Linked DNA regions of Tamandua tetradactyla. The protein of the gene in region 1 purifies or fractionates together with the protein of each later gene. This does not show direct contact. Links are inferred from orthologs where the notes say so. Each region holds a gene or a part of one and is shown in the gene's direction. Other genes may lie near its edges.

Evidence for each region. The genes of interacting proteins can lie anywhere in the genome.
Region 2: the proteins of WASF2 (region 1) and BRK1 purify together in Homo sapiens (co-immunoprecipitation; 3 studies listed by BioGRID and IntAct, with this or other methods). This does not show direct contact. The link is inferred for Tamandua tetradactyla from reciprocal best matches to the Homo sapiens genes WASF2 and BRK1.

What each region holds. Positions count from the first base shown.
Region 1 is NC_135328.1:198,768,874-198,777,399, forward strand, and holds the start of WASF2 (actin-binding protein WASF2), read left to right. Parts: upstream 1-5,156; 5' UTR 5,157-5,325; intron 5,326-8,526. UniProt on the Homo sapiens protein: Downstream effector molecule involved in the transmission of signals from tyrosine kinase receptors and small GTPases to the actin cytoskeleton. Promotes formation of actin filaments. Part of the WAVE complex that regulates lamellipodia formation.
Region 2 is NC_135335.1:39,042,958-39,050,336, reverse strand, and holds the start of BRK1 (protein BRICK1), read left to right. Parts: upstream 1-4,281; 5' UTR 4,282-4,325; coding exon 4,326-4,443; intron 4,444-7,379. UniProt on the Homo sapiens protein: Involved in regulation of actin and microtubule organization. Part of a WAVE complex that activates the Arp2/3 complex. As component of the WAVE1 complex, required for BDNF-NTRK2 endocytic trafficking and signaling from early endosomes.

The sequences.
Region 1 (8,526 bases):
CACTGGGTACATGGCAGCAATGGGATTGGAACCCATTTCTCTCCGGCCCCGCTGTGTCCCTCCCCCCCCCCCACCCCTTCTCTGACTGAGGCATTTGCCTGCGGGAGGAGGAGGAGGAGATGGTTTGATGGGAATCGGGAGGCTTCATTGAGCTGGGGCTGCTGCAGCAGAGCGGCAGGCGTTTTTCCAGAGCTTTCATTTCCGTCTGCCTCTTCTGAGCAGGTGAAAAACCCCACAGAGGGCCCTTCACTGAGTCCTCCCCGCTTTCCTCCCCCTCCTCGTGCTGCCTCATCCCCCACGCTGGGAGAGGGGAGGTGAGGCATGCAGTGTGGGGGATGCAGGGGAGGGGAATGAGGAGGTAGGGGAGCGTCACTCTGGATCCTTCCTCTCCAGCAACCCCCCCCCCCCCAATCACCACCACCACTTCCCCATCAAAGGCGCTCTAGGAGGAGAGAGCATTCCAGGTGGAAGGAATGGCAAATGCAAAGGCTATGGATTAAGGATGTGGAGGCGGGGAAAGCCTGCAAGCTTGGCTGGAACCAAGGTTTGGGGCCCCCTGGGATTGCTCAGTGGAAAAGAACTTGTGAGAATGAAGAGAGAGTGAGAGAGAGAGAGAGAGAGAGAGAGAGAGAGAGGAGAGAGAGAGAGAGAGAGAGAGAGAGAGAGAGAGAGAGAGAGAGAGAGAGAGAGAGAGAGAGAGAGAGAGAGAGGAGAGAGAGAGGAGAGAGAGAGAGAGAGAGAGAGAGAGAGAGAGAGAGAGAGAGAGAGAGAGAGGAGAGAGAGAGAGAGAGAGAGAGAGAGAGAGAGAGAGAGAGAGGAGAGAGAGGAGAGAGAGAGAGAGAGAGAGAGAGAGAGAGAGAGAGAGAGAGAGAGAGGAGAGAGAGGAGAGAGAGAGAGAGAGAGAGAGAAAGAGAGAGAGAGAGATCTAGTGGTCCCAGCAAGAGCTAAGGATGCAAAGAGAGAGAGGGTGGTGGGCGACAATCATGGGCTGCAAGCACAGTGCACTCTATCCTTTTCCCCTTAGATTGGGGTGTGGGGGCGCAGCATTGAGAGACTTTCTGTACCCATTGTTTGGTTCTTCCCCCTGGAATGCCTCAGCAGGCTGCACTCAGCCAGCTCTGAACTAGGCGCTGGCTCCTGGCTTTCTGCACATCCTCTCATAGTATTTTCTCTCCAACTCTTTGAAATCAGTATTAGTCACTCCATTTTATAGATGGAGAAACTGAGGCTGAACCAGGTTTACACAGGGTGCCAAAGGCAGAGCTGGGACCTGAAGTCGCCTGCTATCTCGCCTAGGTTGCTTTCCTCCGGAAGGGATCGCCATCCCCATAGCAACAATGAGAGGAACTCCAGCGTGGACTGCATTTCATATTTTATGCAGGCCTAATTTCTTCTGCTCTTCACACCGGACCTGTAGGCAGAGCTGTTATAATCCTTTTTTCATAGATAAGGAAACTGAGGCTCAGAGACGCAGTGTGACTTTGCCAAGATAGAGCCATAAGTGGCAAAGTTGGGATTCAGACCCAGTCTGGTACACCAAATGTCCTTTGCTTCCCCTTGCAGAAGCAGAGGGTCTGGTCTCTGCTCTTACCAGCCTCAGGAATAGGGAACAGGCATTTTTAACAGGCATTTTAACAGGTATTAAAAACAGGTTATTTTTTAAATTTAGTGCAAAAGGAACAGGGCTTGGTCTTGGGAAACTGGGGACTTGCCAGGAGCAGGGAACAATTTCACCTCTAACTCCTTGGATAGAAGAGCAGCAGCAAGTCCTTTCAAGTTTCCTGGTTGGGTTTGAATCCCAACTGTACTTATTCCTGACTGGTTGACTTTAGGCAAGTCACTTAACCTCTCTGTGCCTCTTTTACCTCATCTATAAAATGGGGGATAAGTACAACAAGACAACTTACAGGAAGGCTGTGGGGATTAAATGAATTAAAACATGTAAAGCACTCAGCACACGCCTGCTCCATAATAAATGCTCAATAAATGTTAGTGCCTGTTATTACTATTGATATGCGCTCATCCCTTGAAAACAACTTGTCTATCACCATTGCCTCAAAGGAGAAACTGAGACTCCTGTTGTCAGTCAACCTTCAAAGAAAGCCCGAGATCTTTATTTCCAGGGCAGGTAGTAATTTGATATTAACAATAATAATCATGGGTGGGCCACAGTGGCTCAGCAGAAAAGAATGCTCGCCTGCCATGCCAGAGGACCTGGGTTCGATTCCGGGTGCCTGCCCATGTGAAAAAAAACAACAACAAAAAAACAATAATAATCATTATTAGAGTTAATAGGAGCTTCACATTTATTATATCACTTAATTCTCACAGTTTTGGGAAACAGAAACAATTATTTTTTTATTTTTATTTTTTACATGGGCAGGCACCGGGAATTGAACCCGGGTCCTCGGGCTTGGCAGGCAAGCATTCTTACCTGCTGAGCCACCGTGGCCCGCCCGAAACAGAAACAATTATGATCCCCATTTTATGCATAAGTAAAACGGAGGCTCAAAGAGGCTAAGTCACCTGTCCGAGGTCACACAGCTAGGAAGTAGTGTATCCGGGATTTGAACTGAGGCTTGTCTGGCTCCACAGTCTCTTAAGACAATTAGAGTCAGATGACAACTCATCCAGTGCATAGCTGCCCCACACAGCTTTCTCCCAAATGTATCTGCTGGATCTGCTGCCTCAGGCTCACCTCCCTCCATGCCAGAAAAATTGAGCACTGTTTATGGGCCGGGATGCTTTATACACCTTTCTGCATTCAATCGTTATCCTCACCTTATGACCCGCTATCATTATCTGCATTTCTCAGAAGAGTAGCTGAGGCACAGAAAAATGTGATGATTGCTTAAGGCAACACACTCCTAGGTGGCAGAGTCGAAATTCAGCTCCATGCAGATTTGCCTCAAAGCTGATATTCTTTCAGGGACTCTAAAAGAAGTGCAGAGATCCTTGGAGAATAGCCCAATTTTCAAGGCCAGGTACCCTCATTCTTCAACAATTTGGTGTCCCACAAGGTCTTGTGAGCCCTGCCCCTCCCCACTGCCACCAAGTCCATTGGCCTAGATGCCTTTTCACGTCTAGGCCTGTAACTTCTCCCCACCTGTCTTGTTAACCCCCACTTATCCATTTCACATTAGACATCTCTTCCCAGGGAAGTCTCCTGCCCCATCTCTAGAAGTTCACTTTCATAAGCACATTGTAGTTTGCCTTCTTGCTCCTTATCACGGTTTCTAACTGTATTTTGATTTGTGTGATCATTTGTTCAAAGACTTTCTTCTTCACAAGACTCTAAGCGACATGAGGGTCCAAATCTGTTTTATTCACCATCGTGGCTGCAGCACTGGCAGGCTGCCCTGCATGTTGTTGGTGCTTAATAATTTATTGAACAAATGCATCCACGAATGAATATATAACTACGGGGCACTTGACACACACGGCTCATTGATTTCACAGTTAACTCATTTAACCTCACAAGTGCCCTGTTATCCCCACCTTTGAGAAAAAGTTGATGAAGGTCAGTACTGCTTTCTGCAGTAGAACTTGGATTCAATCTCAAGTCAGTCTGACCTCAAAGCCACTGCATACTGCATAGCACCTGCTGTCACCTAGCACCAAACGCCACAGTTAGGATTTAAATAGTCACAGGTAGTCAAACCACACATCCCAGTTGAGCCTGGAGGTCCACAGCACTGGGGCCCTGTCGACACCACACCCTTTTGGCCAGATTTGTCCTTCCAAAGTTTTAGGCTGCTCCCCTTCTCACTCCCTTCTTGGCTTTCTTCATTTTTAGAAAGGGAAAGGGACTAGGGATTACAGCCAAGACAGCCCTTCTGGGAAAAACAATCCTGTGGTGAAAAAAGGCCTGTTGTGCGAGCAGAGAGACCTGGATTTAAGTCTTGGCATGAAGGCTGCCTTGCTGAGGGCACACAATGGGGTCACTGCCCCTCTCAGAGTTTCTGTGTCATTTGGGATACTGCCGGGGCTGCTGAGCGGCCAGTAGTCTTTTACTCTTGATTCCTAGGGTCCCCAATTCTGAAGGTCACTTTTCCCCACAAATCTTGGTGACTGACAATAGCTAGGGCCCAAATCTATGGTGACCAAAGAGGTGTGGGAAATTCTGCCCTCTTTCCCCAAGACCCTTTCTGGAAGGCTAGGGGATGGGGGAGGGAAGTCTTTTTCAGGTGACACGGAGCCTGGGAGAAAAAAAGGAATGGAAGATTAAAGACAAAGAGTTGAGTCTCACTCAGGGCTGTTTCCAATTCCCTAGGGGACCCTTGGCATGTCAAAATATCCCCAGACTAGGTTTTCTCTTCTACAAAAACGAGGACAATACTTGCCCTACACAGGGTAGCTCTGGAGAACCAACGCAGATATCTTTGCTAACTTGTGAATTTGTCACTTCGTTATCCAGCTGCAGCCTTTTATAATCAATGGACATACACACCCATTTATGCATAAATCCTCAACCATCCCAGGGAGTGAGGCAGGCGTGATTGTTCCTATTTTGCAGAAGGACAAACTGAGACCATGAAGTTCAGGGACTTGTCGGTGGTCACAGAGTGAAGTGGCGACTGAATTGGGTCCAATTCACCTGACCCAATACAAAGGGCCTTTCAGAACCAGCTCCCAGTCCCAGGGGCCCTTGCCTCTCCTACGGCGAAACCTTCCATCGCGGGGTAGAGCCAGTGACTCAACCTCATCCCCACCCTACTTTCGGCCGAGTCTGGACCCGGAGGAAAGGGACAAAACTATCTGCAACTTGAGGGGGAGTACATAGAAAGTTCACGGACTTGGTCCCTTCCTTCCACCCAAAATACTGGTCCTTTAAGCTCTACCAAGAAGAATTAGAATTTCTATACACTTTGTATGAGTTTTTATACGTTCTTACATGGAATTCTCCTACCCTGTATTTAGGAGTTGATTTACTTTAATCTATACTCCCACTTCACTTGGTTTGCTCCCTGCTGTTTACTCCGTTTGCGGAAGTCGCTCGGGTGGAGCTCCCGGGACTCTACCCTTGGGTGCGTCTTTTGCGTATTTATTTAACTGACATTCCACTTAAGCCAATGGACTGCTCCGAAGCCCCAGGAGGGCGGGGCAGAGAACCAATCAGGGCTGTCGGCGGGGTGTGGCTGCGTCCTAGGGCGGGGAATCGCGTAATGGCGGACGCAGGCCGGGCGAGCGCGGCTGGGGGCGTTTCGCGCTGAGGGGGGTCCGGCTGTGTGGCAGGCTGTGAGACGGCCGGCTGAAGCAGACCCTGTGCGGAGACAGGGTGGCTGGCCGACGTTTCTGTCGCTGAGGGCGCCCGCGCGAGGCCAGGTGAGCAACAAGTCCCTTCGGGCGGGCGCCACCATTCCGCGGCACGGCACCCGGCCCATCCTCCGCTCCCGGGAGCGCAGGGTCCGGGAGGAGTGGGTGCCGAGCCTCCTGCTGCGGCCTGGAAGAAACCGGGCGAGCCATCTGCGCCGGGTGACTTCTTACTACACATTCCTCACTTCCAGGGGCCGGAAACTCGGGGTTCCCTTAGGAAACTTGGAGGGGCCCCGGGTCTGTAAGCCTGCGAAAATGCCTGAGCTGGCTCTGCCACTTTCTGTGTGACCTTGGACAAGTCACTTCCTTCTCTGAGTCTACTTTCTCCATTTGCAAGACGGAGGCTTTGTAGGCAGACAGATATACATGGATGTTGTCTGAGATATTGAGCAAGTTCTTCCCCAGGCTGAGCCTACATTTCCATTTCAGGACCAAGAAATATTTCTGGAGCTCCCAGCCTGCTAAGTTGCTGAGTGGTCGAGAGGACATTAAGGTGTGTGTGTGTGTGTGTCTGTGTGTCTGTGTGTCTGTGTGTGTGTGTGTAGGATGGATTGCAGAGTAAAAGAGTGGGCTCAAGCGGTTCCCCCAGCAATGCTCTAGATGCCACACAGAGACCATGATGGAGTGGGACCAGATAGTCTTGGCCCTCCAGAAATCGTACAGCCTTTGAAATGGGGAATTTTTATACAATTGGGTATAGAATCAGAGAAGAGGAAGAGGTTCTTGGACCCTCTTGGAGCTGCGATTTGATCTTATGGCCTAGAAGAAGTTAGGAGGAGGAGAGAGAAGAACATTTATGCTGCTCCTCTTACTATGTGTATGTATTATTTAATTTTTACAGTAACCCTTGAGAATTTACACACGAGGAAACAAAATTTCCGAGAAATTAAGTAACTTACTCAAGGTCACACAGTAAGGTGCAGAGCTTACCAGTGTTAAAGTGTTTCCTCTGAATCACTGGCCAAGGGTAGTCACTGCCCATTTAAAAGATAGTAGTGGGAAAGTTTGCTTTCTCACAGAGGGGGAGGGGTCTGGCCCTGGTGCTTGATTTGACTCCTGGCCTGGAGATTGGCTGGGTGGTGATTCCTAGATGGTTTATTAAAAGTCCGTCCCCTTTCTTCAGTTGTGAAAAGAAAAGGACCATTTCTAAGTTGTATAAGTCACTTTAAAGTGTATCAAAACTCAGAGGGCTCAGTTTGAAACCTGGCCTTGTGGCCTGTAGAAGAAAGTTCACTGGCACTTCATGTACGAACCAAATCCTTTATTCGGGTTGTGCCAGCCCAGTAACTTCCTTTCCTCCTTAAGAAGGCTACATTTTCTTGGGATGGGAGACTTTTCCTCTTTTCCTATTTGTTAGTTCGAATTTCTTTAGATTTGAGGGATGAAAGATTCAATACCCTGCCTCTGATTGAGTATAATGTTTCTTTGTTTTACCTGACTTGTAGGTGAGCAAAGATTGTGAACCTGTGGGAAGTGAGGAGGTGGGGGTAGTTGAGTACCATAAATTGCAGCGTTTAATTTTTACAAACCTCAGAGCTTTTGGTTAATCAAAATGATAGGACCCGCAGTGGGTATTGTTCTCGTATGTCAATGGTGGGGAAGAAAATTGGAAGAGGAAGTTGCTGAGAAAAAGGGCGTTTCTTAGCAGTGAAGCCAATATGTATTTCTTTGTTTGAAATTCTAAAACCAGAAAAGCAGCAACTAAAGGAAGGAAAGAACTATGAAACTTCTCTTCCCCTTCAAATATCTTGACGCGCTGCTTCTGTCAGAGGCTCTGCTTTCACAGAAAAAGTCCATTGTAATTTGTCAACTTTCAGAAATTGAACTCTAGAATGAAATGATTTTAAATCTTAAACCTTCCAAGATAATTTATAAATAAATCAGAACATTTTAATGAGTAAGTTAGTTATTGTAGATGATCCTTTTACTCAGCATAATTACCAGTTCAATCTTTGGCTGTGTTTTTACTGTGATTTAGTCAGATTTCAACCTAAGAGGAAATGATCTAGATATTATATAATGCACATGTTGCCATCACTTGGAAAACAACATAATGGTGTGTTTGGTTTTCGTCATTTATTAAAAGTCCTTTTAATGCTTCATTTTCCAGGGTTGTGTGTGTACAGTAGTTAAGGCCTTGAATTTATTGCATGTAAAGATCTAGGTTCATCCTCAGTATTTGTCATGGTCAGGTTCGTGTGTCAACTTGGCAGCTATACACATCACTTTAAACCAAGTTTAATCTTTAAATAGAAAACTCAGGCTACTCTTTGCTTTTCTCGGATACCTCTACTGTAGAGTGATGTGAACTAGTATTGTTGGAGGATGAAGGATTGTTTCTTCTCTTTAGAGGAAGCCCCATGACAGCATGAACTTGAGGGATTCTTTCCTTAATTCTGGGCCTTAATTCATCTTCCCTCTTGGAGTGACTCCATAGTCCCAGAGAATGGTTCCTTTAAACTGTGTGGGAGGTAGAAGGAGTGTAGAACTGTGTATCAGGAGTTACTGGTGGAGTTGATCTATAGTTGGACTAGGAAATTATTACTATCCAAATTGCCCCAGTTTCTTCTCTTTAACTTCATAAGCCCTGATAATATTGCAAAAGGATTAAATTTAGTTAACTAGAATCCTATTCCAATTTACCCTGGTGTGGCTGGGTAAGCTCTTGAGGACAGGAAGAGTATCTTATATTTCTTTTGTATTCCTTAATGCCCAAAGGCCAGAGCATGAAATTTGTCTTGCATCAGAATTACTTACAGAGCTTTTAAAAAATATACCTATCTGGCCTAGGACCTCTGATATCAGCAATACACAGTCCAGTTGAGAACAATTGACATAAGCACAGTGTAGGTGTTCAGTAAATATTTGTTTAATTTGCCATTGGTCTTGGCATGGGTTGGGTAGGGTGGGAGTTTACCCAGATTTTTCATAAAGTAAAATAGCTTTCTAAGATAACAGCACACATCTAACGGTTGGCAGATCTGGACCCATGGTTGGTGTAGTTCATTGCCGGATATTCTGTCAACATTACCATTCTCAGGCAGGATTGAATGTAGTCTATCAAAAGGCAACTAGAAGTTTTGTTTTCTCCTTGAGTGGTGGCCTTCCTAAGATAATTAGGTTAGCAGTTGTGAAATTGGGGATAAGTAGAAATTCAAGGATTCTTGGTGATTTGTGGGGGGGAGGGAAGTGGGCCAGTGGGCATCAGCC
Region 2 (7,379 bases), on another chromosome or scaffold:
ATGATGCTTGATCTCATGCATATGATATCATGCATAAGAGCATATATCCAAGATTAGGGCTACTCTGTAGACACCATTATGGGTGGTTTCTTAACTCCTCCCGGCATATGACTAAAAAACACATTTAATTCCAGGATCCTTTTCCCAACTCATCTCCTCTGACAAAATAGAGAAATAGGTGCAAGGTTTTATCAAAGGTCCAGCACAGATATTCGGCAGAACCAAGGCGGAATGAAGGGCTCCTGACTCCAGGGCCTTTCTACCAGTTCATCCCCACCCCCACCATTCGGAAGTCCCATCATCTACTTCGGGGGGTGGGAGGTGGTGAACCTAGGAAGTCTTTTCAAGTTGCTCTAATGTCTCCCAGAGAAGAGATGCCTCTTTCTGGCCAAACAGGCTTCCCCTTCCTACCACTCCTCCCGTTCAAGGAATTCCATCCCTTGATTTCCCCACCTGGGAAAGGGAAGGACAGCGCCAAAGTGCAGCTGAGGTCCTCGTGAACTGTGAACGGAGATCTGGAGAGGTCGGAGCTGCCGGGAGTGGAGGCGGCACCCCCTCCCAGCCCGGAGAAGGGGCTTGTTTCCCGGGGATCCCTACCGGGGGGCGGGGGCCACACGGCTCTGGCCAAGACGGAGGTGGTGGTGGGAGCCCGAGCCCGGTGCCACCATCAGGGCCGGGGGCTCACCTCCTGAACTCCGTGGGCCCACGCTCCAGAGTGGCGGTCGCCGGTCCCGGGCCGCATCTTTTCTCCACCGGGTGCCTGGCAACCGCCTTTGTGACCCGGGATCTTGAGCCGCGGCGTGGGGGTCGGGGGGGGGGGGGGGGGGGGGGGGAGGTTAGGGCTCGAGGCGCGCCAGCTGACGGCCTTAGGGGCTGATCTCCCCACTCCCATCTCCTGGGAACCCTTGGCCGGGGACTGAGCCTTGAGGAGCGCGGGTTCGATTCCCCATTCTCCCCACCACCCCTCCCTGCCTGTGCGCCTTTGATCAAGTCTCAATCTCAGCATCCATTCCAACACATGGAACAGAAGACTGGCACGCTTGAGAGGTCAGGAACCAGAATTAAAGCCCCGGATTTACATTACACCCTGTTCGGTGGATGTTCAGGTAGTTTATCTAGGCTCTGAAGCTGTATGTTGCTGTATTGGAAAGATCCCAGTACAAGGAGACAGAACTTCATAAACGCCAGGCCATCAAAAGCAAGAAGATAGATGATAACACGTCTTTCCTTCACTTTCTGACCAAAAACCTTTCACTACCTTCTATTACATCTCGAAAAGTATGATCCTGTCCCATCCTTACAATGGTAAAAGATGACACTTTCACCACAGTAAAAGAGTGATTTGACAACTTTGTAAAACATCATCTCAAACAATTATCCTGGGTCACCAAAGAAAGAAGGGACATCTAACCAGTTCACCTTCAGAGTCCCAGTGCCTGGCAGTATGAAGTATTTGTGAGAGAAATTAACTACCTACCTGCTCTTCCATTATACACCCAGAAATTGCCTTGTACTCTGCAAGCTGTAGAAGGCAGCAAAAATAAGGGCTGTCTCCTTCTCTGGTTCTTTAAGTGAAGCTGAAGGATAGATCCTGGCCAGGAAGCAGATAGGTTTAAGGAGCTTGTGAAGCATTGTCAGATGCTCACTGTGCATGTTTGCATGCCCTGCAGGAGAGGTAAGTGGAAAGAGGTTAGAGGGAAGACAAAAAATGGAAAGAGGGAAGGAGAATGATGAGATTTGGAAGAGATGCAAAAGATTTTTTAATTACAAAACTTTTTCCCCCAGTAATTTTTTTTTTAATTTTCCCCTTGAATAAGAGAGATACCTGATATTTAAAAAGCAGGCAAAACAGTTGTTTTTATTGCCTTTTTTTTTAATGAAAGTCTCCAAAACAACACTGTATGGTTAGAAATTGCTGGACAGCTATAGGTGTATTTTATTGCTACTTTCTGCATAAGAAGAAAATGTTAACTTATCTTGAGTCCTTTGCTTCGTTAGGCTCTGTTCTTAGTTTTTACTTTAGCCTTGCTTGCATAATCCTTCCAACAGTCCCAACCCACTGAGGTTGTTATTTTAGTAATACACTTGAAGGAGCGAAAGCTCAGGGGGGTAAAAAGACTCATCTCTAGATTTGAGATTTGAAACCGAAATGGCCTTCCTTTTAAAGGAAAAGGTCTGTCTGATTTCTGAGGCATGTGAGCCATATACTACTTCAACAGCATCAGTTGGAAAAGCGGGGTCTTGATTGGAAGGGGGCCTTCATGGGTGCCTAGGGCTCCTTAGTTGTCAATATCAATTACTTTAGAAATGATTTGTGTGAATATGTGGAAGAGCTCGGATAGACTTGAGCCTATTTTCAGTGTGGTACAGTGAAAAGATAATGGAGTCTGGGTTGTTGTAAACATCAGATGAGGGATGAAGATACACATACCTGAATGGTTAAAAGATTTTGAAACGTAAACTATTACCCTCACAAAAATTCTCAGATCAATCTCAATTTATATGATAAAGGCAGCGAAATCACTCAAAGAAGCATCTTCCCTTCCCAGTGGTGATGTAGCAGCAGAGCACCACAGAGGGATCAGAGGAAGGATGAAGAATGTGAAGAAAATAAGACACAAAACGAGGGCGATGAAGATGGGGGCAACCTCTTCAAATTCCAAAAGAAGAAGAGGGAGAGACATTGACAAAAGAGATTGAGGAAAATACCAAGGAGGGAGTAGAAGGGGGAAAAAAAAAGAGGAAGGTGAGAGGAGAAGAGCCAGGAGAAGGAGGAAAGGATTCTTAGGTTTCATGCTTTATTTCTTCGTTTTCCAGAAAACACAAGCCATGAAGCAAAATTTCAACCATCTTCCCATGAACTAAACTTGTTATTTCCCGAAGAAATAAAATGTTTTGGCCTGAAGTTACCCTTCTCTCTAAGTATATCAGAGATTCTCTGAAAAATTACACTGCTTAATGTGGCTAGATATACCTGGATGTATCTACTTAATCAAGTCAACTTGAAATAAATGTGAAGACAATATGTTCATATTTCATGTGCCTGAAATTTTGGCCTTTGCTTATTATTGTTATTTATTTTTATTATTGTTCTGCATGAATAGCCCTTCTTACTAATACCCTGAAAAAAATTATTTCAAGGTATAGAACCTCTCTTCGGGAAATAACAATACTATTTTCTCTGGGTGTGCCTTATAACCTGTCTTGGATTTAGCTTTGAAAATGAATGTGTCCTCCAGAAAATAATTATATAAATAAATGATGATAACATAACCTCTTCCTGACTTCTCAAAGGGTTTGTGAGGATGCTATATAAAAGTGTCTTTATAGGTTGTAAAATCTTCCACCCAAGTAAAGGACTGTTAGTAATGGTTTCTTCTCAGCTACTACTAGAAGAAATGACTCTTCAGCCACTTTTTAATAAAAGGCTTTTACAGCACAAATCAGATTGTAAATATTCCTTGAAACAAAAAGTTTGCAATTCCATTATTTTAACAAATCAGATATTGACATTTTGGTATATCTTTCTTGTCCTCAAGCAGCAATGAAAGAAAATTTTGTATTTTGTTTTTCCCTTTAATGTATCATGTTTTCACATTACCATACTTTTTAAATGACTGCATGGTGTTGCCTTAAGTGGCTATACCTTTGCTTAGTTATTCCCTATTGCTGGAGATTTATTTTGTTTTGATAATTCTTCAAAGAGCACCTTTAAGCTTTAAGTTATTTTGTGGTTTCTTTTTTTTTCCTTTTCAATGATTTTCTTAAGGATATTAGGTCAAACGGCAGTTATCAAATTTCCTTCTCAAGGGACAATGTGATCAACTATTTATGATCCTACCAATTTCACCTCAGCCTTGCCATCACTAGTTATTTAACTTTAAAAACACGTTTTGTTAATTTGATATATACAAGGAGGGATGTCACGTTGCGTTGTTGGAAACGTTTTTTAAATGACTTGTATGTAGTGTGGTTTAAACTGCTGTGCCCACCTCACTGCTGACACATACTGCGCCTCCTTAGTTTGGAGCAGATGAAAGAGCTGGTGACACTGGCCCAAGCGCCTTCTAACGACCACAACGGCGGGTTACAGGGTAGCTTTGACACGTGCGTATTCCACTCTCCCGGCCTGAGTCGCCGCATCTGTTCTCCCGAGCGTGGGAGAAGAGCAAGAACGCAGCCGAGGACTTAACACTGCGCAGACGCACCACAGTGCTCGCGGAGTCCGTGGGAGTCAAGGCAGCGGGTTTGATTGGCAGCGCAGGCGCACTGGCGGCCTGTAGGGACGGTGCGCCTGCGCAGTTATTCTCCCTTCAGCGGCCGCCATGGCGGGCCAGGAGGATCCGGTGCAGCGCGAGATTCACCAGGATTGGGCAAACCGGGAGTACATTGAGGTCATCACCAGCAGCATCAAGAAAATCGCGGACTTTCTCAATTCGTTCGGTAAGTGGGCGATCCGGGGGAGTAGGGAGACCTCCGAAGCGGTTTGGCGGGGACGCTGAGGAGAAGCTTTGATAGGGCACGCCGGGAGCTCTCGGCTCTGGCTCTTTTTCGCATCCTCCTTCGGGCCGCACTTCTCCCTCCCTGATCCCTAGGCTCCTTTAGACAGTTTCGGTGGGGTTTTCCTGTCCCAGGCTGGGCTCATGGGCCACGCTGGATCCACCAAGTCCTTATCCACCAAGGCCTTCCTTTTCTCAGTCCGATCTCAAGCGGCCCTATCCGTTCTCTGCGGCTTTTCTTCTGCCTCTTTTGCGCCCCGCTTTCATCCCGGTTCCTGCTTTTCACTCTTAACGACTGTCACTCCCTTGCTTAAAGACTGTTTTGATTTTTGAGCGGACATGTCGCCATGTCGTTCGAGTCAAGACGAAGCTTTGCGTGCTACGTGCTGTTTCCGCATTTTTTTCCGTCGTCCCTTCAGCCACTGCTCTCGCGGTTCCTTCCTTCCTGATTACCGTGGGCTTGCTGAAAGCGGTAGGAATTGAGGTTAGAGAGATAGGTAGAGTCCAGAGCATTATAAGACCGTGGAAATCTCTGTATTGCTGGTATATAGCATATAGCTGTAAGCGGGTGTTTTTTATGCTTCTAGCCGGTTCCACACAGCTAACACAGGGCGGGAGACTTGAGCATAGAGATAACTTTGCCAGAATCTTTCTTTAGTATATCGTGCTTGTGACAGTCGTAAAAATTTTCTGCACTATTCCATACCCTTCTTGAGAGCAAGCCTGTACAAAATTCTACTCCATGTTCTCCAAGTATGCTTTGGTTACATTAATTCAACATTAAACAATTAAGATTAAATATGGAAAAGTGATGTATAATTTTTTTTAATGAATTATTTTCTAGCTAGATGGCCGATGAGTCCTAAAGAGTATAAATGTGACAGAGCAAGAGTGTTGTCAGAAAGCATCAAAAAGAGGAATTAAGTCTCAGTACCAGGCATTCTCTCAGGCACTGGGGGGGCGTGGGGGGAGCACACTATGGGGGACATAGAATAATTTCCTGCCAAGTAATTTCTAATTTTCGAGATGAAGTGATGACAACTTCAAACAAAGCAGAGCTCTGTGTTTTTTTGTTAAAATGATTAGGTGCAAGATGTACAGGACTATAATCTTTTAAAAAAATTTTTTATTAATAAAACCAATCAATATACAACACGAATATTCTTAATGTATGAACATTCCATACTTGGTGTGCAATCAGTGGCTCACAATATCGTCACATAGTTGTATATTCATCACCATGATCATTTCTCAGAACATTTACATCACTCCAGAAAAAGAAATAAAAAGAAAAAATTCATACATACATATCCCTTCCTCTCATTGACCACTAGTATTTCCTTCTACCCAATTTATTTTAATGTTTGTTCCCCCTATTATATATTTATTTTTAATCCATATTTTTTACTCATCTGCAGGACTAAAATCTTTTTATTTTTCGGAATTTTTTTTTAAACACCAAACAAACGCAAACATTCTTAACTTTTGATCATTGTTCTACATATATAATCAGTAATTCACAATATCATCACATAGTTGCATAATCATCATGATCATTTCTTAGAACATTTGCATCTATTCAGAAAAAGAAATAAAAAGAAAACAGAAAAAAATTCATACATACCATACCCCCCACCCCTCCCCTCACCGATCACCAGCATTTCAATCTAAATTTAACATTTGTTCCCCCTCTTATTCATCTTTATTCCATATGTTCTATTCGTCTGTTGATAAGGTAGATAAAAGGAGCATCAAACACAAGGTTTTCACAATCACACAGTCACATTGTGAAAGCTGTATCATTATACAGTCATCTTCAAGAAACATGGCTACTGGAACACAGCTCTACATTTTCAGGCAGTTCCCTCCAGCCTCTCCATTACATCTTGAATAACAAGGTGATATCTATTTAATGTGTGAGAATAACCTCCAGGATAACCTCTCGACTCTGTTTGGAATCTCTCAGCCATTGACACTTTATTTTGTCTCATTTCACTCTTCCCGCTTTTGGTCGAGAAGGTTTTCTCAGTCCCCTGATGCTGAGTGTCAACTCATTCTAGGATTTCTGTCCCACGTTGCCAGGAAGAGGCTTGTCTTAGTATGGTGGATTTCCTCACTCATTAGGGAATGGGAATGAAGGTATTGATTATCCTTATGAAAGAAGACAGTAGTATAGTATAGATGTATATGTCAGGGCTAGATGTACACACATACAGGTTGTTATAGAGAGTAGGAAATGGTGGTCAAAAAAGCATAGCCCTCATGTATCCTGAAATGTTTTGAGGAATATAATAAGGTTGTATGGTTTAATGGAGAAAGTGAGTGGATTTGGAGTCAGGAAACCCAAGTTCAAAGAGATTAAGGTAATTGGTTTTAATAAACTGGACACATTTCAGAAATACTGGTCTGTTTGCATTCTGTGGCGACAGTTTGAATGTTGGTTCTCATCACTAGTTTCTCCTGCTTTCCTAGAGAGATGAAATATTGTTGGGGGTTCTTCACCACATTCTTTATTCATAGCATTCCCTTAGAGGAAGGGCTAGATAAGAGAAGCCAAAATATCCGTGCTAGGGAAAGAATGAAACGATGACAGGATCATAGCTTTGAGACTCTTCTTTAATCTAGAGAGGCAGTGGAAGTACATGGAAAAATCACTGATATATTTAACTTTGTTTTAAAAGGCAGAACTTAAAGACTTTTTTATCTGGGAGGAGTTGATTTCTGATACATACAGAATATCCAAACAAGATATATCATTTCAATTAGTAAGCCATCTAAAATAAGCTAGACTGTTTTTCCAAATTTGAAAGTGATCTAGGATTTCAGTCCCCAAATTTAGATCCTAAATAATGTAATAACTTCATTTCTGAGTTCAGAATT